4 linked regions of the Caenorhabditis elegans genome follow. The protein of the gene in region 1 purifies or fractionates together with the protein of each later gene. This does not show direct contact. Each region holds a gene or a part of one and is shown in the gene's direction. Other genes may lie near its edges. The genes, in order: dma-1, lect-2, tiam-1 and mnr-1.

What was found.
Region 2: the proteins of dma-1 (region 1) and lect-2 purify together in Caenorhabditis elegans (affinity purification with western blotting; 2 studies listed by BioGRID). This does not show direct contact.
Region 3: the proteins of dma-1 (region 1) and tiam-1 purify together in Caenorhabditis elegans (affinity purification with western blotting; 2 studies listed by BioGRID, with this or other methods). This does not show direct contact.
Region 4: the proteins of dma-1 (region 1) and mnr-1 purify together in Caenorhabditis elegans (affinity purification with western blotting; 3 studies listed by BioGRID). This does not show direct contact.

Annotation. Positions count from the first base shown.
Region 1 is NC_003279.8:8,280,135-8,284,988, forward strand, and holds dma-1 (LRRCT domain-containing protein), read left to right. Parts: upstream 1-1,834; 5' UTR 1,835-1,931; coding exon 1,932-2,135; intron 2,136-2,211; coding exon 2,212-3,043; intron 3,044-3,195; coding exon 3,196-3,380; intron 3,381-3,477; coding exon 3,478-3,606; intron 3,607-3,655; coding exon 3,656-3,763; intron 3,764-3,810; coding exon 3,811-4,164; 3' UTR 4,165-4,343; downstream 4,344-4,854.
Region 2 is NC_003280.10:5,788,808-5,794,925, forward strand, and holds lect-2 (Leukocyte cell-derived chemotaxin-2 homolog), read left to right. Parts: upstream 1-1,915; 5' UTR 1,916-1,929; coding exon 1,930-1,981; intron 1,982-2,440; coding exon 2,441-2,546; intron 2,547-2,550; exon of another isoform or gene 2,551-2,634; coding exon of another isoform or gene 2,635-3,098; intron 3,099-3,622; coding exon of another isoform or gene 3,623-3,719; exon of another isoform or gene 3,720-3,783; intron 3,784-3,990; coding exon 3,991-4,157; intron 4,158-4,207; coding exon 4,208-4,399; intron 4,400-4,448; coding exon 4,449-4,521; intron 4,522-4,815; coding exon 4,816-5,149; intron 5,150-5,384; coding exon 5,385-5,468; 3' UTR 5,469-5,595; downstream 5,596-6,118. Other genes in the region: K05F1.13 (C2H2-type domain-containing protein), read left to right, coding at 365-450, 659-836, 916-975, 1,021-1,086, 1,133-1,321; K05F1.14 (uncharacterized protein), read right to left, coding at 2,635-3,098, 3,623-3,719; acdh-8 (medium-chain acyl-CoA dehydrogenase), read left to right, coding at 5,748-5,817, 6,015-6,118. UniProt on the Caenorhabditis elegans protein: Muscle-derived dendritic guidance cue, which is required for the formation of somatosensory dendritic arbors which extend from PVD and FLP sensory neurons during development.
Region 3 is NC_003279.8:4,407,798-4,412,727, forward strand, and holds the start of tiam-1 (DH domain-containing protein), read left to right. Parts: upstream 1-1,891; 5' UTR 1,892-1,979; intron 1,980-3,073; exon of another isoform or gene 3,074-3,263; intron 3,264-3,958; 5' UTR 3,959-4,004; coding exon 4,005-4,072; intron 4,073-4,218; exon of another isoform or gene 4,219-4,304; intron 4,305-4,427; exon of another isoform or gene 4,428-4,497; coding exon of another isoform or gene 4,498-4,744; intron 4,745-4,799; coding exon of another isoform or gene 4,800-4,908; intron 4,909-4,930. Other genes in the region: T21E12.5 (Guided entry of tail-anchored proteins factor 1), read right to left, coding at 4,498-4,744, 4,800-4,908.
Region 4 is NC_003283.11:20,653,041-20,660,252, forward strand, and holds mnr-1 (Menorin), read left to right. Parts: upstream 1-1,611; 5' UTR 1,612-1,654; coding exon 1,655-1,706; intron 1,707-2,790; coding exon 2,791-2,925; intron 2,926-3,133; coding exon 3,134-3,295; intron 3,296-3,903; coding exon 3,904-4,049; intron 4,050-4,097; coding exon 4,098-4,388; intron 4,389-4,888; coding exon 4,889-5,008; intron 5,009-5,055; coding exon 5,056-5,358; intron 5,359-5,564; coding exon 5,565-5,682; intron 5,683-5,964; coding exon 5,965-6,076; intron 6,077-6,330; coding exon 6,331-6,484; 3' UTR 6,485-6,704; downstream 6,705-7,212.

The DNA of each region.
Region 1 (4,854 bases):
GGGTAAGAAGCTGAAAAGGCCCAAACTTGGGGAAGAAGCTGCCGGGAATTGCCGAGTATATATGTATATTCCTATTTTCCCGGCGGGAGTTCCACTCCCAATACGCTCGTAAAATATTTTCATCGTAGAATAGAAAACTTGTCGAAAATGAGTGTCAGTTCCATGGACACGTCCTCCAGAGAGTTCGTGCATACAAAATGATACATCAAACATTTGAAGGGCACCGCAACACAATGCGCAAATCCTCACACACATACGCCAACACTTTCTTCAGGTGTGATAAATGAAAAGAGTGCGAGAGCTTGTGTGACATGTCAATCGGTGTGTGGATAAATTACCCCAAACACACACTTCCGATAGTGACAGCCGTGGTGTTCGTCACTCCACACGAGGATAACCGAACGCGGGTGCTCACCGAGATTCACACCATCTTAATTGGTCTGTCTGTGATGAGCGGGCTTGGAAGAGCGAAAGACAACGAATGCGGTGGAATTGGGTTAAAGTTTGCCGACAACCCGGAAAAGATTCAATCTCAAACGGAAATTGAACATTTTGATTAATGAGTTTATAAGCGAAAATGTGTTGGAAGGAGCAATTTGACACTTTCTTTGGGTTTTGGATGCTGACGGGAATATCTTGCAATGAGATTGATTGGGTGTTGACATACAGTTTGAGAGGTCTCTTGCATTAGTCATTGGTCTTTATGATTTACCGAATCGTCGGATAAGAATCAGTATGCGAAATTAAGCATAATTTTATAAGAACGTTTTTCATGAAAATACTTCGTAAAGCTTTTATGACACGGTATGGATATTTACTGTAAAGTACCGTATTCCTCTAATTGAATTTACAGTATTCCCCTCGGTTGACCGGATAAAAAACAGCTCATTATTTGTCCACAGGATCCTTTATTCGATGCCAAGTGTATTCTGTGGTACTCGATATGACGGATGAATTACCACCAAATTTGAACCATATGTCGTCGACAATTCCGATGCTTGTCTTCTCCCACCACTTGTCGTCGTCATCTTCTGCTCAATTATCTTCGCACCATAGTCAATATGAACACTATCCAGAGAAAAGAGTCACCATCACCTTTTATTACCACACACACACACACGGGTACACCAATAAAAGGGCAAGTCGTAAACGAAAAGCGCCTGCCTGCTGACATTTGGTGATGCCCACCCTTTCACATCTGGCATCCTTGACCACTATTACAGGAAGACGTTTGTTTTTTTTCAATGCCCGTTTGAATCACTTTAGAGCATTCTCTATAATTTGGAGCTTTCGTAAAATCACTTTGAAGGGAAAATTGAAGAAATCTAGGGAACAGCCGGGTGCAATCGAGAACGGGGGCGAGTGGAGCTGCACAATTTAACAGAACCTCATGAATATATGATAAGTTCGTGAATGCAATCTCCATCAGAAACCTTAGCATGACGTTGAGATTTTAGGAGCAAAGTTTTGCTTGAGCTCAGATGATAATGATATTACATAGATCTTCACATAGATAAGCTCAACTTCGTCCTTGGAGATGGTTCTGAAATTTTTTAGAACTATTATATTCAGTCAAACACCCTCTTGCTTCCAAGAAAACTCAAGCATCCACCACCCGACGCCAAAAACGCCTGAAGCGGGAATAGATTTTCTTTTAGTGGTGTGATAATTGCCACCCTCTGGTACATGAAAACAACATTAGGTGGTGCTGTCAGGCACACATTGCTTCTTCCTCTTCTATCCGGTCATCCTTCTTCTTCTTCTTCCCATGGGTGGTGTCTCTGTTGACCCTCCTTCGCCTTAAGCCCCGCCCCTTTATCCGCCCGTCCCCTTCGCCTTCTCATGGTGTTTTGCCTCACGTTTGCTGCTTCTAGCTGCTGTGTTGTTTGTCTTCTGGAGAAGTCAAGGATTCTTTGTTCCGAATTGGAACAATGATTTCATACATTTTGCTTTTATTTTTAAGTTTTTTGGTATTATGCTCTATTGCACTACCATCATCATGTCCGAATCTTTGTGAATGCGATCAAAATGACTCGTCTTGGAGTGTTTATTGTCGAAAGGCAATCATAAACGATACGATTTACGCGGAAATTCTAAACCAACTTCCGTTGACTCTTCGATCACTTCATATTCAGGTTAGTAAACGATAAGATCTAAAACCACAACGTCCGTCCGTCAATCTAATCCCTTCATTTACATAAATTGTTTTAGCCGCCCTCAAATCGCATTGGTTCTAACAAACTTCGATGGAATGACAACATAAACCGTTTTGCACAGCTTCGAGTTCTTCGTCTCATCAATTGTCAGATTCCAGCAATGTCCCGATCCATTCGACTGCCATCTTTGGAAGTATTAGATCTACACTCAAACAATATTGAGCATGCGACAATGAGCAACTTTGGTGGTATGCCAAAACTTCGAGTATTGGATTTATCATCGAATCATTTGAATATTCTTCCAACTGGAGTATTCACATATCTTAGAGCCCTGCGATCATTGTCTCTATCCAATAATACTATCAGTGATCTTTCTACAAATTTACTTCGAGGTCTCAATTCTCTTCGAGTTCTACGACTAGACCGGAATCCTATTCCAATTGAACACATCAATGAGTTATTCACAGATGTTTCCCAATTGGATGAATTATATTTGAATCATTGCAATCTTTCATCAATTTATTCTCTGGCTCTTGATCGTATTCCTCAACTCCGTCAACTTGGAATCGGAGGAAATAATCTCAAAATGGTTCCAACTAAAGAACTGAGATCTCTTCCTCAACTTTCTGTTCTCGACTTGTCTCACAATTCCATTCAAGAAATCACAGCCTGTGCATTTTGCAATACGAATATCTCAAAATTGGATCTTTCCCACAATTTGCTCGGAATTTCGAAAGACTCTCCGTTTAACGAGGATGCGTTCCGAACGATGCCATTACGTCATCTGGATTTGTCATTCAATCATATGAATGATTTTGACTCAAAATGGTTGGGATGGGCACAAGAAGAGCTGACTTCGATTGCATTGTCAGGAAATTTCTTGAAAAGTGAGTTTTTGTAGCAAAAGTTAAAATAACCCCAAAACTAGATTTTTAAAACTTTTTAGATTGTTTTTAATTTAAAAGTTTTTCCGATTTTTAAATTTGAAGAACGGTTTTTCAAAGTTACTAGAGATGGCATAATTAATTTGTAATTTTAGATTTCGAGGAGTCATGGACCTATACATTGAAGTCGTTGATTCATCTCGAACTGGCCTACAACCACATCAAATTCATCCCGGTACAGCTGCCGTCTCGCTATTACCACCTGATTTCATTGAACATTTCCGGAAATGAATTGACTTATTTGCCTGACAATATCAACACTTTGCTTCCAAATGTGAAAGTATGTCCATTTTCTATACGAAATTCGAAGCGTTTGTGGACCCCCTTATATGGGGACACGCATGTCATTTGAAACCTGCTCACTGAGATTTCTTTAGACTTTCGACATCACAGCCAACCGATTCCACACCTTCTCGCATACAGATTTGGCATTCCTAAATAATGTTGAACAAGTGTACGTAGATGGAAATCCTTGGGATTGTTCATGTGCTATTCAAGGACTTCAAGTGAGTCTTTTCCTCTCTTATTTCTGAATTAATTCGAACATCTTTTCAGGTTCATATGCGAGATCGTTATGCGATGAGACACATTCTCAACTACGATAATGTCCGATGCGCGACACCATCGCTTGTGGAAGGTCATTCAGTTCTGGCAATTACCGACGTAAGATTCACATTCACGTTATTAATTTCACTATTTAAAAACTTCAGGTAAACGACTGTGCCGTTTTGTTTGGTGCACGGTATGGATTAACGCAAACAAGTGAAATGCTCATACTTCTCGCAGGAGTTCTCCTTTTTGCCGCACTACTTCTTATGATTCTTGGATGCATCTATTTCCTTCGTGAGCGACAGTACAAAGGATCATATGTGACACGAGAACACTCTCGAACTCCACTCACGATGGCAAACACACATAGTTGCTCTTCGAGTACAAATGATACACATGGTCCATTATCACCACCATTTGATCCATTCTTGGTTAGTACTGAAACATTTAAAGCCACTCCTCCATTGATTCCACCAGCACCTCCAAAACCTGGATCATCCTATTTTGGCATTTAAATATCCTTTTGAGAGTTTCAAATGTTTCAAAAATCTAAATCCGTGTGATTATTTGCATCCATCTAGTCGTTCGATCTCCCAGCCCCATTTTCATGTATTTTTGCCCCCTTTTTCGATACGGTGTTCAATTGTTTAACCCTTTGTCTGTAAATAAAATAAACTGCTCGTAGATATACCAAGTTCAATGAAATAGACAGGAGCCTTAATCAGCAGCATAATAGTAGTTTTCAAGAGGTAAGACACCTCTTCTCGGCCGTAAATCCGTCGGCAAAGAAGTAATAAATCGGCGAGGCTGTTGTCTTTACGCCCTGGTTCTCTGTGGGGGTCAACTCATTTGTCAAATGCACACCAAGACAAATGCATAATTGAGAAGGTTTCGAGAAGGAGAGTTGACTTTTTCGTTTAAAAAAACTCCGCGGGAAAATCTCCGTAGCCACAAAATTTTGACGTTTATGAATTGAAAATTGGTTGTTCGACAGGGACTCGTTAATTTATGAGTTTATGAGCCATTCGAATAATAAATTGATGTGCGTATGTATGTGCACACGCGCGCGAATTCGTGGATGTAGATTGCACAATCTGTTATGACACGTCGTCTCATCCGTTAGATTCCCAAGTGACACCCAAAACAATTGGAGTAAGCCAATGCCAATTAAGTTGGATAGATGACCACGAAGAACAAGACATAAC
Region 2 (6,118 bases), on another chromosome or scaffold:
ATTCCAATTCTTGAATATCTAATAAATTGTATCCTGCTCTAGAAAACTCTCATTATTACTTCAAAAACGTACTCGTTGGTCTGAAAATAATTAAATAAACATGATGTTACACAATAAACAACGAAGGTGTATCTATGGCAACCAATCCATCATCTACAATTCATAACTATTCCCTTCCTATTTTCTAGTTTTTCACTCTTCCGTATTTTTTTGCCCAAACAGTCGTCTTGGTGAACTCGTAGACATGACGACCACGAAAACCAATCCTTGACAACCTCTTCTATTTTCAACATTCATTTTTCACAGCTTTGTCATTTTTCTTAAATTTTAGGATTCTGAGAAATTTCCTTTTTTTTTCATACTGATGTCAATAAACTATTTTAAATTTGATTGCGATGATGATCTGTGCAAATATCATGGAATAGCTCATCTACACTGCGGACACAAACGGTACAGTTCCAAAAATTGTTAAAATTTTTAGGATTAAGCTTATGCTTAGGCTTCGGCTTAGGCTTAGGTTTGGGCGGTGGAGGGGACAAGCCCTATTTTTAAGAGATTGCCATTAGGAATAGAAAAATAATGCACAAAAATCTTGTAAAATCCAGGGCGTAGCTCTTCAGAAGACGGTAATCATTTAATAAATAATATTTTATTGCAGGTGTAACTTTGCATCAAATGATGCTCTTTTGATATCAAATCATCTTTCCGTGTTCCATTTAAAAAACTCTGAAATTCCTGACGACCGAATATTCTATCATATCGACGTCTCATGTGGATCTGACAGGTGTCAGTTTAACCGAAACAGTTCTCATTGGCACTGTGCCAAATGTCAAACGGTATGACTATTCTCTTTCAGAATAATTTTTGAAGTCTGGAAAGCTTCTGTGACACTGATCAATAATTCATAGTTTACAGGGATTTGAAATTGTTGGTCTCCATTGTTGTCCAATCACTTCCCTTCCCAAACGGCTTGATGTAGTTTTCAGGTTTACAACAACTATTTCATTTTTAAAATTTCAGTCCTGTTCTCGTCCGTTCTGCAAGCTCAAAAAGAAAGCACACTTTCATTGCAAAATTTGTGATCAGGTAGTTTGGAATACAAAGTAATCGACGAAGAACTGTATATGTTCAGGGTTTCTCGAATAACACAAAATTGGCAAATCATACACATCGGACTCAGAAGCTGCAAAAAAATATCTGCATAGAAAATGGAAAATTGAAACCGAAAAAAACCACTCCGAGGGATTTTTTCGTGCTTCGAGAACCTATTAGGTTTACGATGGAAGAACATTTTGGAGGAGGGAGTGTGAAAGAAGAATAGGATCTTAATTTTTTTTTTACTTTTTTACATAAAGTTAAAAAATATATTTCAGCCGAAGTATTTGATATTTGTTGCGAAATTAATAGTTGTTGTTAAAATTGGACATATTTTGGAGGGTTTTTATATAAATTAAGGTTTTTTAGATCATAATTATCTCCTGTATGTGACTCTTCAGAAAAAATCAAGTTGACCTATTGAGTAGACGTAATACCTCTATAGTCCCATAAAACTATACGACTTGCTGCTCTGTGAGCACTCTTTCTCACATTCACCCAGTGTGCCCCCCATTATTGCATTTATTGGTGAGTACACCCTGAACAACAACACAATAACTAACATCGATCTGAGATCAAGCGCAGATAAGATAGAGACGCAGATGAAACAAGAGTCAGTTGTCTGTGCTCTGTGTCTTCAGGACGTTCTTTTGACATGCCATTCGATGATTTGGGTTGATGAAAAGTAAGGAAGAACATTTCTTCTTTTTTTGCCTGCAATCATCAAACTGAGCTTTCCGTTTTATTTATTACTTTCTCTCTCCACCTTCTTCTCTTTTTTGTTGTGTTTTTTTTTCTTTTTAAAGTCTCCTAAGTGGCTTTTTTTGCAGTCAAATGCATCTGAGAACCTTGCATTTTCTAATACTTATTGGGATATTCATAGGAGGTGAGTTAAACATATTTTGATCATTGCAGCGGAGTTTTTTTAAAACAAGTTTTAAGCAAACAATGTTTCAAAGTTATTTTTTAAGATTTTTCAAAATTTTAATAGTAAGTCAAGTGTTGGCAAATTTCCAACTTCATAACCTATTGGGGAATTTTGAGAAATTGAGCGAATACTCGCAGATTTGAATCCATGTAGTGTTTGAATAAAATAATCAAAACAGTATATTTTTGGTCGACTTCAAAAAAAAATTAGTTATTTTAAAGACGTATAAGATATTAAATACTTGCCGCTGGTGCTACTCCAATTTTCACATTCTGAAAGTTCACTTGCACTTTGCAACAGGCAAGCGTGTAGGTTCAAGATAGTCGTAAGTTGCCTTGAAGGCTTTATTTAATTGCACCAAACACTAAATTTTCAGCACAAGAAGTTGATCAACTTTTAATTATTTTTAATTTACAGGTCAGACATTGGGATGTATGAAAAAAGTTTGTGGAAACAATGCAAAAAACGATTTTCGTCGCTGCCCGGACACTGATGGATCCTGCGGTAATTATCATACAGAGAGGTGAGAAACTTTTTTATACTAATTTTTTTGTAAAGAAACTTTGTATATAAGTGAAAACATAAGAAGTTATTTTTCAATAGTAATGAATTCAGACATAGAAAATAGCGTGATCAATTTCTTTTGTACATCTTTCACGACTCCTTACAAGCTGAGATTCACTTGAAATAACAATACATCGAAGAAATGTTGCAAGTAAAAATAAAATAATACCTAAAACTGTAAGGGCTCCTAATTTAATAGTTATAGTTGCTCCGTTTACGAGATCATTGTAAAAACCAGCAAAAAATAAATGAAATAGAGGAGATAACAAACTGAAAACTAACGTTTGAGTAAATAATTTCAAATTTAAACATCGAATTGAATAAATTTCAAGAAAAAGGGCTAACACTGCTAAGAATGGCCATTTGTCGTCAGGAACATTGGCTAGAAAATCAGAATTTTGAAATAAAGTATAGTGAATGAAAAGTTGAAATATTGAAATTAATACAGAATGTTGAAAAAGATAAATTAACAATCGATCGATAACTGCACATCTTTGAAGCAGTGGTGTATCTGGAAATTTAATTTTTCTTTCATTTTTCCTTGATTTTTGAAAATTGGTGTAGCAGTTTTCAAATGAGATTTAAAACTGAAATTGCAATACAAAATATTTTTGAGAGCATTTTTGAATATTATAAATTGAATACCAGTACTCCAACACTAAATGACCGCTATAATACATATTTACTTCTCATATAAAAAATAATAGATTTCTAGAAGATCCAGAGTAACTTTAAATGAAAAAGGAGATTCTAAAAATTTAAATTTACTGAAAAACTTAATTTCCGTATTTTTCCAATTAATTTTCTACTTCCAGTTGTGATTTTAAAAAGTTTTGAGAAACAAAAATCTTGAAAATAGATCAACTTATTCTAACCAGTTTATCATTGTTATGAATTTTAAAAAAACCAGATACCCAATCCAGACAAGATGCAAAACTAATATTGTACTTCACTCAAATTTTGTTTTATTTTAAAAACTCAATGCTGGAATTTTATGAATTTCAAGAATTCAATTTTGTTATAACCGAAACAAACCTTGAAACGCTTTATCGAAATTTCCATACAAAATATAGATCAACAATCGAAATTCAGAAATTTCCAACTTGGAAACAGTAGCAGTCGGTCGTTTCATTCTTTTGAAGAAAAACACGAAAAGTGAGCTCACAGATCTTTTGAGCCGCGGAAAAGAGAAAATGAGAAGAAACAGAGATAAAGTGATGATATCACACACATTCTAACTCACTTTTCAAAAAAAAACAACGGATGATATGACACATGGCTTTTGAAACGAGACAACACTGGTTTTAATATTAAAATGTCTAGTTTTGAAATTATACAATTTTTTATTTATTTCTAGAGTTTTGCTAAATGTATGTTATAATAGTGACAACTTATTTTTTCAGAACATCAGGAGAAATAATCGATGGAGTGGATGTTCGATGTCATCTCGGAGAGCCAATTTATGCTCCAATTGAAGGAGAAATGTACTTTTGGAGACCATATGGAGGTAAACGTGAGAAATCATGCGCCGACCAAGGAGTGAGAATTGAGGGAACCGGGCAGTGGCAGGGTACGTTTTGGAACTTCAAATATAAAACTATTGATTTTTTTAAATTTAAGGCTACGCAGTGCACATATCTTCTGTTAAATTGTCCTTTTTCGGAGGGCATGTTGAAGCTGGAGATGAGATTGGAGAAGCTTTGAATCGATATTGTTTCAATGACAGAGGACAAAATGATGTCGAGCCTCATGTTGAGATTCGGTTGTACAAAGAAGGAAGACTTATCGATCCGACTCATCATCTTCAAAATTGTAATTTTTGTCAAGATCAGGTTATTTAGAATTACTAACATATTTTCAGGCATGTGTACTGGTCAGATCTGTGAATCAAACACTAGAAATGTGCTCCTTGGTGACCCTTTTAAAACTGACAAGTAAGCACTTGTTTTAGATTTTAATATATTATGGAAGAATTGCATGGGCTAAATTTTTCCCGCTGCCAAAACCAATTTTTTTTTTCAAATTCTCTCTCAATTTTTGCCAAATTTTTTACCAACTTGTGTAGCAAATTTATGTTTTCAAGCCAAATAAACCAGTGACAAAGTACCAGAAAATAACAATACATATACGTACTATATACTCTAATAATTGGGTACCGCAAAACAACTTGCAATACTAATAGGGGCGTTTTTAACAGAAACAGCTATGCATTGAACAATTAATTTCAGACGTTACAACGGAGTTCGTGGTTGGGATGTTGAATGTCAAATGATTGATGATGATGATGAAGATTCACCACGTGCACCAATGATCTATTCACCAATTGCTGGAGAAATCGTTGGAAGAATTCGTCTTTTCACTGACTCAAATGGAGCTTACACCGGATGTGATAATGATGGAATTTTCATTGTTGGAATTGATGATTGGCTCGGATTTGAGGCAAGGCTGTACAATGTGAAGGCTCGAGCAGACATCGGATTTGGAAGAAAACGAATTATTCAAGGAGAGCCGATTGCAACTCGGCTGGCATGTGAAAATAGTCCGGACAGTGTGTTTGTAGAGGTAACAGTTTTTTTTAAAGATCAGAATATGCGATTGCACTTTTTTCTGATCTTCAAGAAAATTTTAAAAATCAGGTTCTAATTTCTATTTGTCAAAGGTTTTTTGCTTTTGATGGCAAATGATAAGTAAGCTAAAAGCTCATGTCTCTTGAAACCAGTGAAGTTTTTTGTCTTCAAGGAGTATATCCTTCAGAAATATTCACATGGAGTTTCCGTTTTCATCTTTAATTTTTCAGATTCGCTTCGAAGGCCGAGTAGTCAATATTACTGATATCATAACCGCTGCCAACTGTAAAACTCCGAACTTTCCAGTATTCTAAACAGTTCCTTACTAATCTCTGAAAATGTCTCACAATTGCTTTCTGAATTCTCTTGTTCTGTTATTTCTTTGATCGTCATTACTTGCAATTAGTTTAAATAAATTTGTTAAAAATTTTAAAACAAAAATTCTTTACGTAAAACTTGAAAAACAATTTTAAAAATATAAATTGTCCCTACTCATCCACGTTGAATGACCCTTGGATGAAAATCAATCGATTGTCTTTGATTTTATTCATCAAAGTTGTTGCTGTCAAAAGTGCAATAATCATTGTGTGGACATGCTCACTCGTCTTTCATCTGGAACCACCTGGAATCGGATTGCCGTTCAAAGCCGACAAATGTCATTTGGTTAGTTTAAAGAAATGTTTACCCAAATGCAGTTGTAAAGATTTTTACTTGCTTTGTCAATGTTTTTGAGTATGTTATATGCCAGTTGACAATTGACTGACTTTGACTTGACTTGAAGGAATATTTTCATAGTCTAAGCTAAATAATACGACGTTCCAAAAATGTATCAAATAAATAAATCAATTGTTTAATTTCAGAACTGTCCGACACTCAAAAGGAAATTCAGTCCCATGCTATAAAATTTTCGAAGGACGTTCTTGTGCCAAATGCTGCAAAATTCGATAAAAGTGGAGAGTTTCCA
Region 3 (4,930 bases), 3.9 Mb from region 1:
ACAATTTCTGCCTTCAGTTTCAGAGTTAGCTTTGAAAACTTTTGACCTACCTGTCTTCCTATATATCTCCAGGAATGTTATATTCTACAAGTTCGCAGTCAGTCAAATCCAAAATTCTTGTGTTCCATATCTCACCAAAAGAATCTTTGCATCCCGAAAACTTTTTGCCCCTTCCCGCGCCGCGCTCTTTTCTTTTTTTTTTCATCGTCGTTTTCTGCATCATTGCTAATAATCTCGCTGGATATTCGTTTCTACGTTTTTCTCCCCATTATCATGTCAATTACACAACCGCCAATCCAAATGGCATTTGACCACCTCCCGGGGCGGTGTCGGCGTAATTTTGTCCTCAATGAGTGGTCTCGAGAATTGTATTTAGGATTTATAAATCTTCATGTTTTTTGGTTCGGCATGTTTCCTGATTTTTATGAAGATTTGAAGAGACATGGCGGGCCATTTTTACATGCTCAGATGGCCGAGTTTTCTCTAGCTTAAAAAGTTCACAAAATCATGGACCACCTAGAAGAGCATATCTTTGCACAAAACGTGGTTGCCTAAAAATTTTTCATACCCGAATTTTGCTATTGTCAAGTTTTTACTATATGTTTATTACTTTTTAACCTAAAAATCTGCAGATTCGTATTCCAAGGAGTTTCAACAATTTTTGAGCGAGTTTAAAATTTAATTTCTTTAGCGATGTTAGCATTTTGTAATGCCAATTCTCAAAATCCCGGACAAAAACCTTGTAAACTAACTGTACAACAGGGGTGTGCGGCAAATTTGCCAAATTTGCAGTTTGCCGAGCTCGGCGAATTTCAAAAATGTGGACTTGTCGAATTCGCCGCACACATTACAATTTTTTAATAAAATATATTTTTTCATTATTTTTGGCTTTTCTGCTGTACAGTTGTTTTCGTCTCAAAACCAAAAATTTTCTATTTTTCCAAATGGAACTTTTCCTAAAAGTTTTCCAATGGCCTAGATTTCTCTGAAGCAAAAATCGATTGATTTTTTACAACCTCCTACATTGAACACATCTTGCAGAACAGGTATATAAAAGAGACTAACATGTTTTTGTTCACAGCTCAACGAGCTCGTAAACGCGTTAGTATGTGGCTCTCTGGCTCAACAGAAATTGAACCCATTCGATTTGCAATTTAACTTTTTTCGCCTTCTTCACTTTAAAATTCTTCAACTGAAAATTCAGTTTTGCTCTTTCCAATTCCCATCGGGGGACAAATGTTCTCTTTTTTTTGCATTTTTGTTCCACCCCCTACTTCTCGTTTACTTTTTTCTTCTTACACCCCTAATTCCATTTCTCTCTCTGTTTTTTTGTTTTCTACTCATTTGCAGCACTAGTTTTTTTGGTTCGAGCTGAAGCTGATTGAAAGACAAGTGTATGTGCCAATGAGAGCTCGAAAATGAGCAAAATTCTTGGAAAATTTTGGAATTCAATTTATTTTTCGAGTTTTGTTTGCTTATTTACACATCTTTCCCCACGGGCATTTTGAGTGCTTTTATTCGAGAATTTTTCTTCAAATTTGGAGTTCTTCATATACTTTTTTAAAAACTTAAATTCAATAAATTTAGTCATCAAAATTTTTTTTTGAATTCATCGAAATTTTATTTTAAAAAAGCAGTTTGCACTAACCTGTAGGAAACTTGAAAGATTTTTAAAAGATTTGAAAACGGTACATGATTGAAAAAAAATATTTTTTGAACAAATTCACTGAAGTTTACATTTATCTCATTTAATCCCTAATTCTTTTTTTAATCTAAAATAGTAATTATTCTTCCAATAAAATTTCTCTCACTCTTCTGCTCGCATTTTCCGCGTCATTTTCCTTTCTGTATGTAGTAATAATAAAAACAACTAAAAATTTATATTTTTTACAGAGAAAAACAAGAAACAATCAGAGAAAAGCAAAATAAAAAGAAGACGCTGATGATTCAGTTTCAGTTTGTCAGGAATCGAAAATACGGTGAGAAATTGGAAGCGTAGAATTGTACTAATAAATTATTGAAACTTTATTCACCACTTTGTATCTACATGACCATTAAAAAAATATTTCTAGCATAGAAAACATAAGTTCTCACAGTTTGGTGTGCCAAGGTTTTGAGCTTCTACGTAGCCAAAATAGAGAAAACTAGACCACGTGCAGTTTTTCGAAAGTCGGTTTCATATAATTGTTGCAGTCATTTTTGAAAGCTAATTTCAGAACAGTTCGTGGTAGAAAATCAAACAAAAAAGCCTCGACCATGTAGTGAAACTTTCCTTAAAAAAATTGTTGAAATAGCAGCCAAATAATGGCAATTTCTGATTCCTAGGAACTTTTATTAAAAATTTCTATGAGATTTGTATTTTAAATACGTTTTTAATTACGTTTTTAAATAATTTATTTTTGAAAATTTCAAAAGCTCAAACCTGCAGCAATGTTCTAATTTTTTTAAATTTCAAACTGTTCTATTAGTTGGCAATTTACCAAAACTTGGCAAAATTTTTTGAAGTATTTATTTATGAAATTTGGTCATGTTGAGTGTATTTATACAAAGTCCTCATTTTAAATTGAAGTCAACTATAATTGTGCCAGCGGTCATTCGGAACTGTATACAATGATCACCTAAGAATCTATGTTTTTAAATTTTGAATGAGAAATGTGTCTACATAAAACCAAATTTTTCGGAGGCGAAACCTTACTGGTCGATTCTCCTTTTTTCAAGCCACCTTGCGAAATCTGCTGTTCAAATTAATTTAACTGGTATAAGAATTTTTGAGATTTTGACATTTCTATTATATTTCAAAATTTGAAAAAAAGTGTATAGTTCCTGGAAGCTATAAATCTTAATTTCATAATCCAAGTGGATTAGAACGCCTATTGATAATTCAAGGTGTGTTCTTATATCATCTGAAAATAGTTAAATTCAAAAGATGACACGTTTTTACATAATTTGCATACAGATGACTTCTTCTCTTCCTTCTTCTGTCTGCCACACCCCATCCAAATCATAATAGTTATGTCAAAGCCCCTCTCCTCCTTCAATTCTTTTCATTGTATTTAACCATTGTTTTCATTCAACACCACTTCTCCCTTTCCCCCGTAAAAATCCTATTTTCAGATGTGCTATTCAGGGTTTCCTTTTAGTCACAAATTAAGTGTCATCTTTTAAGAAGAGGGGGCTCCTTCTTAGTAAAAGAGCACCAAGAGTCCGCTCGGCACTCATTTTTCATTTTTGGTGTGAAGAAGAGAAGGGGGATGTGGGGAAGAAGCCTATCCGCAAAATTTTTGGTGTGAAGCATAATTTAGTGTTTGTTGTTTTTCGAGCCATTTCGTGTGGTCAAAATGAGTTTTGAATTTTAAATTTTTTCTTCATTCATCTTCTTATGATGATTGTTAGTTTTTAAAATTATAATCAAGAAATTTATTTTTTCATTTTGTTAAAAGTGTACCAATGTAGGAATAGCTAAAAACCATAGTGCTTTTAATTTTTCTGTTATGTTTTAATTTTTTAAAATTTTGGGCGTTCAAACATGCGGTAAAAAACCAAATTTTCAGTAACTTTGGCAATTTACCAAAAGATTATCAGAAACTTTTCAAAAGCTTACAAATTTGTATTTATGAAAAAGTTTCCACTGGCTCAAAGATTTTCTCCAGGCGCATTTTAGGATCCCCGAAAATCTGCTGTTTTTTCTAGAACATTTTTGAAATTTTTAAACAAAAAAAAATGATTTAAGCTTTTAGAATTAATTAGAACAATAAAAAATATATTACAATTTTCGTTATGGAAAAATTGAAATTCCTGATCCACATTTTTGTAGATATACCTGTTCTCGCCTATTTTCAAAATTTTTTGAATATTTTCTGTTCTCTCTGCAACATATAAAACTTTTTCCAACTTCGCTGTTAACAGAATAACATAGTTTTTTTGCCAGAATTATTCAATCCTAATTTTTTTTTTCCAGGAATTCCATTCTGTTGTCAGTGAGAGAGAACCGCGTTCAAATCAGAATGGGCTCACGCCTCTCATGTTCTTGCTCACAAGCCGAATGCTGGACGAATGATGAATCTACATTGAGGTTTGTTTTTTCTTTGAGAAATATCTATCACTACTTGTCATTCACACAGTTGGTTCGTGTTTATTATTCTAACACTCTGAAAAAAGATAGATATTATAGTTATGGTTAGAATAAACAAAAAGAGTGTGCGAAGGGGAATTGGTATTTGACAAATTGTAGATTGGATGAGGGGGACAAAAAATAGACAAGATTCTGACCGAGATGTCATTAATTTTCGTCAACTAGACACTTTGTTTCGGAAAAAAAGACAGTGGAGAAGAATAAAACCAACTTTTACATTGAAACATTCAAAATTTTAGTTTCTGCTATAAATAATAGAAAAAAGGTTTTTCAGTTAAATTATTCAAATTTAAACTTTATCAACGCAAATCTTTATTACAAAAAACTTAAATAATCTATAAAAACTGAAAAGCGACATTAATTATTCAATAAGAATTTTTATGAGGATTCATTCCATGAACCAAATGATGTACCATTTCTTCTGCATCCATTTCATCTTTAACCGTATTGATTTTCTCGTTTTGCTGATTTCGAATAATAAAATCAGAGGCGTACGCGTCGAAATATGATTTTTGTCGAATAAGTGAAAGAGTTGACTCCATTTTCGAACGATGTCTCACTGATTCGAGAATTCGAATTTTCTCATTGAGCAGCATGATCTTTGTCATTTCTCTGGAAAAATTTTGGAATTGCTGAAAAACTGTAGAAATTCAAATAAAAAACTAACGTGATAAGAGTGTAAACTGAAAATGACCACAATAAAAGGATGAAGCATTTTATATGCATCAGAGCTTCTTCGTCTTCAACTTGTTGCATTTCTTCCAATGTGTGGATTGCTGGAAATTATTGATTTTAGAG
Region 4 (7,212 bases), on another chromosome or scaffold:
AGCATAAATCAACCTGATTTATTATCTTCTTCCATTTTTTACTTTCCAACTTTGGAAACTAGTTTTTTATGTGATAAAAAATTTTACAATTTTTTGACATTTTATTTCAAAGTAAAACTACACTTTCTGAGCGCTTTCTGTACTATGCCCTAAATGTTTTGAAAAACTTTCCATGCTCCTGAAATAAAAGGAATTGGACTAATCGAGAAGATCTGGCAGCGGTAGGCACAACTTGCCTACTAAGCGAGAAGGCACTCATAAAGCAGGGAGCCAAAAATGTTTTCGAGTTAATTTTTAGTAGTGTTTTCAAGGAATTCATCTAAAAGTGCGGTACTATCAAAATATAAAAACTGTCACATGAAATTTGACTGCAGCGACGCGCGCGAAATTTTCGCTCTCGATTCCAAATGCCGTAAAAACAGCTGAGACCACGGCCCCGCGGGTGATGACAGAAACGGGAGAAGAAAAAACGCTAGAAACAGCAGTTTTTGCACTGTGTCTTCACATTTTCTCTTCTCCCGTTTCTGTCATCACCCGCGGGGCCGTGGTCCGAGCTGTTTTTTCGGAATGCGGAATCGAGAGCGAAAATTTCGCGCGCGTCGCTGCAGTCAAATTTCATGTGACAGTTTTTATATTTTGATAATAGTTTTATAAATTATTTCTACAAATTAACGAAACAAGCAAAACGTGTTGTTGGTTTCTGTTTTAGTATGATAGCCAAATAATTTTTTTTCTGAAATTAATCTGACTTTATGCTCACTTCCCACTCCCCAGCCTCCTATTCTCTTCCAAAAATTTTTTAGTGGGCGTGGCCTAATTGACTGGGGTTATAGGGATGATGGTGGTCTCCATCCCCCTTCCCCTCCAGCAGCTTCCTGTCGGTGTCGGCGGTTTGGTGGTAGAACACCCACACTTCCTTTTTATGTATGCAAATCTTCAATAATTACTATATTACTAACACTAAGCCTCTAGAATAGTATTTGCAATCCGGTTGAAATTGTTTTTTGGAAGTGGATATTTGACTTTTTTCGCTGGAATTTTTTAAATTTTCATTTTTCTGAAACTACCGCAGTTTTGTGAAAGCCAAAAAAACCCTGCATATTGAATTTGTTCAATTTATTCAATTTTTAATTATAAAAAATCAGTTTTTAGACTTTCAAGTTTTCCGAATTTTTTTCTATGATTTTTCAACATTTTTCGTTTTTTTAGTAATTTTTTAGTAAAAATTGTTTAATTTCTAAATTCTAAGATTTTCCTCATATTTCAGCCGATCTTTTTTTTCATTAATTTCACAAATTTTCCGTTAACTTCAATCTGATTTTTATTGCTTTTTCCTCCCCATTCTCTCCCTTTTCCAAAAAAAGATAGAAAAATGCCAAAAAAAAACGTAAAAGTGTGCCCTTTTTGGATTTGCATAAAACCTCCGTTTATCATTTTTCTTTTAACGGGCCGCAGTGTTGAAATGTTGGCCGAAAAATTCCATTAAAAATTTTTGAAAATTTTGAAATTCTTCTCATTTTTTATCTAGATTTATGTTTTTTAAGGTCGCTCTTGCTTTTTTGAGTTTTTTTTTTCTTGTTTTTTTTTGGTTCAAAATTTTAATATTTTCAGAATCTACCACGTGGCAGCTTTTAAGCCCAAAAATGCTCCAGTTATGATGATATCAATACTATTGGTTTTTGCCGTTTCGACGGCGTATTGTAGAGGTTAGTTGTTATTTTTAACTATTCCAATTTAAACTTCGGCGCTTTTTTTCTTAAAAATCTCTTGAAATTTCCCTATTACTCATTTTTATACCAATTCACAACATATATGCAACATTTTTATATTCAATCTCACCCCTTGGGACTAATCTTTTTGGGACCCCCCCCCCCCATGTCTTACAACTCGATTTTCGGTGGTTTTTCCACTTGAGACTTATCTCCCGCGCAACGCCAAAATTTGGTGCATCCTCATCTCATAAAACTATATAGTTATGGACCATATGGGGGCCTTATGGTCCGTTTGTACTAATTAGACGCCATTAAGAACGCATACCTCTGGATATAATTCCTTTGAAGGAGTTGGAGAAGGCAATAGGAGCAAAACAAAAAATAATGTGGGCAGCCGGGACTTGACCCCTGGTGCTTTGCGTCTCAAGCTAGTCTGTAACCAGCTGAGCCACTTGTGTGTTTTCAGCAAATCAAACTGGTGCGCGCGTGGCTCAATTGAGTAGGAGACAACGTGAGACGCAAAGGACCACAGTTCGAATCTCGGCTAATAGATTTGTGCGCGTATCATCCTATTACTCATCCAACCGGGTGCCAATTGGATTTACCCGACAAAGTTTTCATCGAGCCTTTCATGAGATTTGTGGAAATGCAAACAAAAAGGATCTAATTGTTTCATTCACTTGGTTTACCCCCTCCATCTATGCCGTTCCCACACAAAGAGGGGTCATGATGAGGGATGATGAGAGCTCATTTAGTGCTCGGGAGGAGTCTGTCAAAAAGGATATGGCTCCGGGTGGAGGGAGATTAAGTGAAATTCGAGATTTTCTTGAGCTCGTTATTGAGTTGGCGGAAAAATTTAATGAGCTCTAGTTCTAGGAAAATGATAAATGAATGGGTTCAATTGTAGAGAGCTGTGCGGCGTTCTCCAAAACTTCAGAGCCTAAAGTCTTCCGGAAAAAACTGAAAAAGCGCCGATTTCCGCACAGCTCTGCCTACCAGGTACCCCACAAGTAAATTTGAAGTTTCAAAAAATGTTTCTTTCTCTTGGTTATACCTCCCAAACTGCTCCAATTTTCAGACTATGGCCGTGAGATGCGCGCCACTCGGATGTCTGTGGTGGATTTTTGGAAAAACGAGACGAAAGGTGACGGCCTGAACGTTCGTGTGGCTCATGGAGTAAACAGCTGGCCTGATCTGGTGGATCAACTACACGGTAAGGTGGGGGACATTGCGTAATCTCTTTGTCGGGAGGGGGGGGGGGCGAGAAGGGTCGGAAATTAGGTATGGTTTTCAAGAGGGCCCGGGTGGGTAATGAGCAGAGACCCGTCTGGCGGTAAGTGTTTTTGGGATGAAGGATTACTCGAACAGTAATATGTTATAACAATTAGATGAAAATTAAATATAATTCATGCCTTCTACAGAACCCTTCCTCAATAAATCCATGATGATCGAAGGTGACGTATTCATGCAAGCTCATCGTCGTCCACGTCATCGAGCCGTTCCAGTGATGAAGGCCGACACTAAATTGGCCGATCGAATCACATTTAAGGAATGGCTCAGAGAAGTGGCCACCATGAACAAGGGTAAATAGTTTTAAAATTTTATTTCAAAAAAAATAAAGATCCTCCTCCCCCTACTTAATTTTTCACAGTCTTGCTTCCGTTTTCAAGTATTTTCCATTTATTATAGGCTTTTTTATTTTACTCTCTAAAAATGATCGAAAATCGTCTGCTTTGATTATCTGCAATTAGTTCAAATTGTCCAATTTCCGTCCGCTCTTCCGCACATTCCTCCACCAATTGCCCCATTCGTAATCAGTTAGTTGATACACATTACTATACGTATGACCCTTAACCACGCCCTACCGACCTACAGTAATCTATCATGTTCTTGTCTAGGAGGAAAATGTCTCAATGACAACCGGTTGGTGATGGCAACATATTTTCAAAGGGGTGGAGGTCCAAAAGTTTTGAGTGGGGGTGCATAGATTATCGACACGTTTTATGTGTTTCTAGCTGTCAGATGGGCCAAAACTTTACACACCTCTCAGGAGAAGGGCTGAGCACCTTTGTTATATGTTGTGTTGCTCGGGAGAAGTGATTTATGATGAGGACCTGTCAGGTCTCTAGCGTGAGACAGGTGCATAACGCTCTGGGAGTACGGATAGGGATTCTAAATCAACAATTTTCAGCCATCAAAATCAATTTCCGATCGAATGAAGTAGTTCGTCCGGTGCTTCAAGATCTCTATGCGAGTCAAGCGGATCCAACATCTCCAGTACTACAATACCCAGTGATTTTACACGCAAATGTGTTTAGATCTCCGAGAAGTGTTGAGGTAGTAAACACAATCTTGAAAAAAAATTTTACAATTCAAAAATTTCAGACCGAAGTGGACCCATCGACCTTTGTTGAAAAAGCCAAGGATCTTTTCCCAGACGCCACGCTCTCTCTGGGATGGACGAAGCAGTCGAATTTCAGCCATTTGCATCCAAAATTCAAAAAATTGTCTTGGAGACAACTGTTTCACATTTTGGAGTATATCAGTCGACTGGACCAGCCGGTGATGTTATCCGTTCGGCTATCAGTAGCTGCGCATTCCAAAGAGCAATTGCTGTGGCTTTTGGGCATGGATCAGTCGATTTCGCTGCTTTTGTGGAGTGATGCCGAAGATCATGTAAGTTTTTTTGTGCGTAAAAAATAAAAACTACAAATTTCAATTGAAAAAAAAAAAAAATTTTCTCCAAAACTACAAACGTTGATGTATTGTGTTTGTAGCAGGGGTGCGCGGCAATTTTGGCAAATGAATTTTCGGCAATTTCAGCAGAAAATTCCCAAAACCGACAATTGCCGAAATTGCCGGGAACTTTGAAAACCGGCAATTTCGGAAATTGCCGCATTTCCCGATAGCCGGTAATTGTAATTTTCGGCAATTGCCGAAATTGCTAATCGCCGAAATTTCCAAAAATCGGCAATTGCCGGAATTACCGATTGCCAAAAATTTCCAAAACCGGCAATTGCCGGAATTGCAGATCAATGGAAATTGTTTCAAATTTTCATATAAATTTTCATAATTGCCGAAATTGCCGATTGCCGAATATTTCTAAACCCGGCAGTTTCGACAATTGCCGGAAATTTTTGTAGTTTTGGCAGAAATTTCTCATTTTTTGATTCCAGGTCACCAATTGGACGCCGATTGTCGAGTTACGCCGTTCAACAACAAAAAATCGAATTCTTTACGATTTGGACCCGAAGCACAGGAAGTTCCTGCAAACTGACAGCAATGAGCCAATTGCGGTAAAACCTCACAAACTGAAACTGAACTGAAAACTAAAAGATTTCAGACTCCGCCGACATTCTCGCTGCAAGATTGGCAAGCAGTTGAGTTTTCTTCTTCCGGATCCCAACTTTCTACAGTGGTCCGGTCGGAAAAGGGCCCGGCGTTTCTTGGAGAGCCAACTGCACTGCTTTTATCGAAAATTCCTCCTCCAAACTTCCCATCCGAACAGAAAATCAGTGGAAAAGTGCACTTTTTGCCGAAAAAGGGAATGGAAAATGTGGATTTGGATGAGAATAGTGGAGTTTCTATATACTTGATGGATAAGGTGCAAGACATTGATTCACCAAAGATCAAGAATTCGCTTGAGGTAAAATTTTCAGAATTTTAATTAAATGAAATGTTGAAAATCAAAATTTTAGCATAAAAAGTAGAATTTGACAATTCGAAAACATTTTTGAAGGATTATAGAAATTTTTGGAAAACTCAAAAAATCGCCGGAAAAAATTTCAAAATTTCTTTTTTGAAAACTTTAGAAATTTCGCAAGAAAAATTGATTATGATTATAATTTTCAGGTTTTCATTGGTTTTGACGGGAAGATAAAAATCACCAATGGACAGCTCAAAAATCTACCGTACTACGAGACAAAATCCGTCGGGCAACTACCGGATAGTGATTGTTATGGATTTGAAGGTTTGTAGTTTTTGTAGCTCTTTTATTCTACAGAATTTAGTTTTAAAATTTATAGTATACATTCGAAACAATGAATGTTTAATAAATATATATATTTTTTTAATACTGATCGTATAAATTTTTATTTTTAAAATTTGATTGTGAGTACAAGTGAAAATAATTTTAAAATTTCAATTTCTGAAACAAATAATGCCACAAAAAAGTTTTCAAATAAAATAATATTTTCTAGTTATAGCTTGAATTCAAAATTTCTCAATTCTCCGACTAAAAAATCAATTTCAGTGACCGATATGGGATGGAGAGTCAAGTTGGACGCCTGGACTGCAGAGTGTGGCAATCAAAAATTGCGAAAACGAAGAACCGTGTCCATTGAGCTGGATACACCGTTTCAAAAGTTAGTTTTATTGGAAAATTAAAGAATTGGAAACTTAATTCTAATCTACTTCTGGAACCATTAATTTTTTTAGTCAAGAATTTCAGAGTTTCTGGAAATTTTCATCAAACATTGAATGTGAACTAAAATTTAATTTTTTTTTTAAATTTTCTTTAGCCCTTCTATTTTCCTTGGTTTGAAATTACTTACATAACTAATTAGGAAAGTTTCAAAGTGAAAAAAGTTGAAACTCATTTTAATCCCAATTTCTCCAGAAACCGACACCTGCGAAACGTCGTGGTATCAAAAAAAGGTGATTCAGCTGTCGATTTCCTTCTCGAAGAGCTTCAACACAAAAACGCCTACAACTACCGTAATCCATGGATTACGGTAGTCTCAACCATACTCCTAATGATCTACCTACTTTAATTTGACTTTAAGACGGGTTTTTTTTCTGCACTTTCAAATAATCCTCGACTTTTTGGTGCTATTTCATATTGCCGATTTTTCTTCTAGAATTGCATTTTTGTTTTCAAAACTTTTGAATTTCATAAAGGAAATTTGAAACTCTGTGATATTTAGTCAGATTTTTTTCTATCTATTCCCAGTGATTGTTCCGATTTTTGCGAATAAATGATTAATTAATCAATTGTTGCATAACTTCTGAGAAAAAAAGTTCAAAGACAGATTTCGCTTCGAAATATCAAGTCTTCAGCGGGAAATCGTAGTTTTATACATTTAAAAAAAAAGACGATCAATTTCCAAATTCATGAGAACACAAAAACAAATATTTTTTAAAAATCGAGTACGAAAATGTCAAAAGTGCCTATAGATTGGGCGGAGCTCGAATATCGACCTGCCTGCTTCGTGCCCCAACGATTATTTAATTGAACACATAATGTAAAGTTAGAAAATTAAAAATGCTTAAATTATTCCCACCAGAATTCAAAAAAACGTACAGGTCGTAGGAAAGAAAATACGAGGCTGGTCGCCTACAAACTTTACTGGTGTAAAAATTCTATGGAAATCAATAGTAAGTATCCGCGAATAACTTAAAACATGAAGAAAATTGCATATTCGGTAGTTTTTGTTAGTCGTAGACTATTTCATAACCGGAACCCTTCTACCATGAGTCATCTGACTTGTGATCAATATTA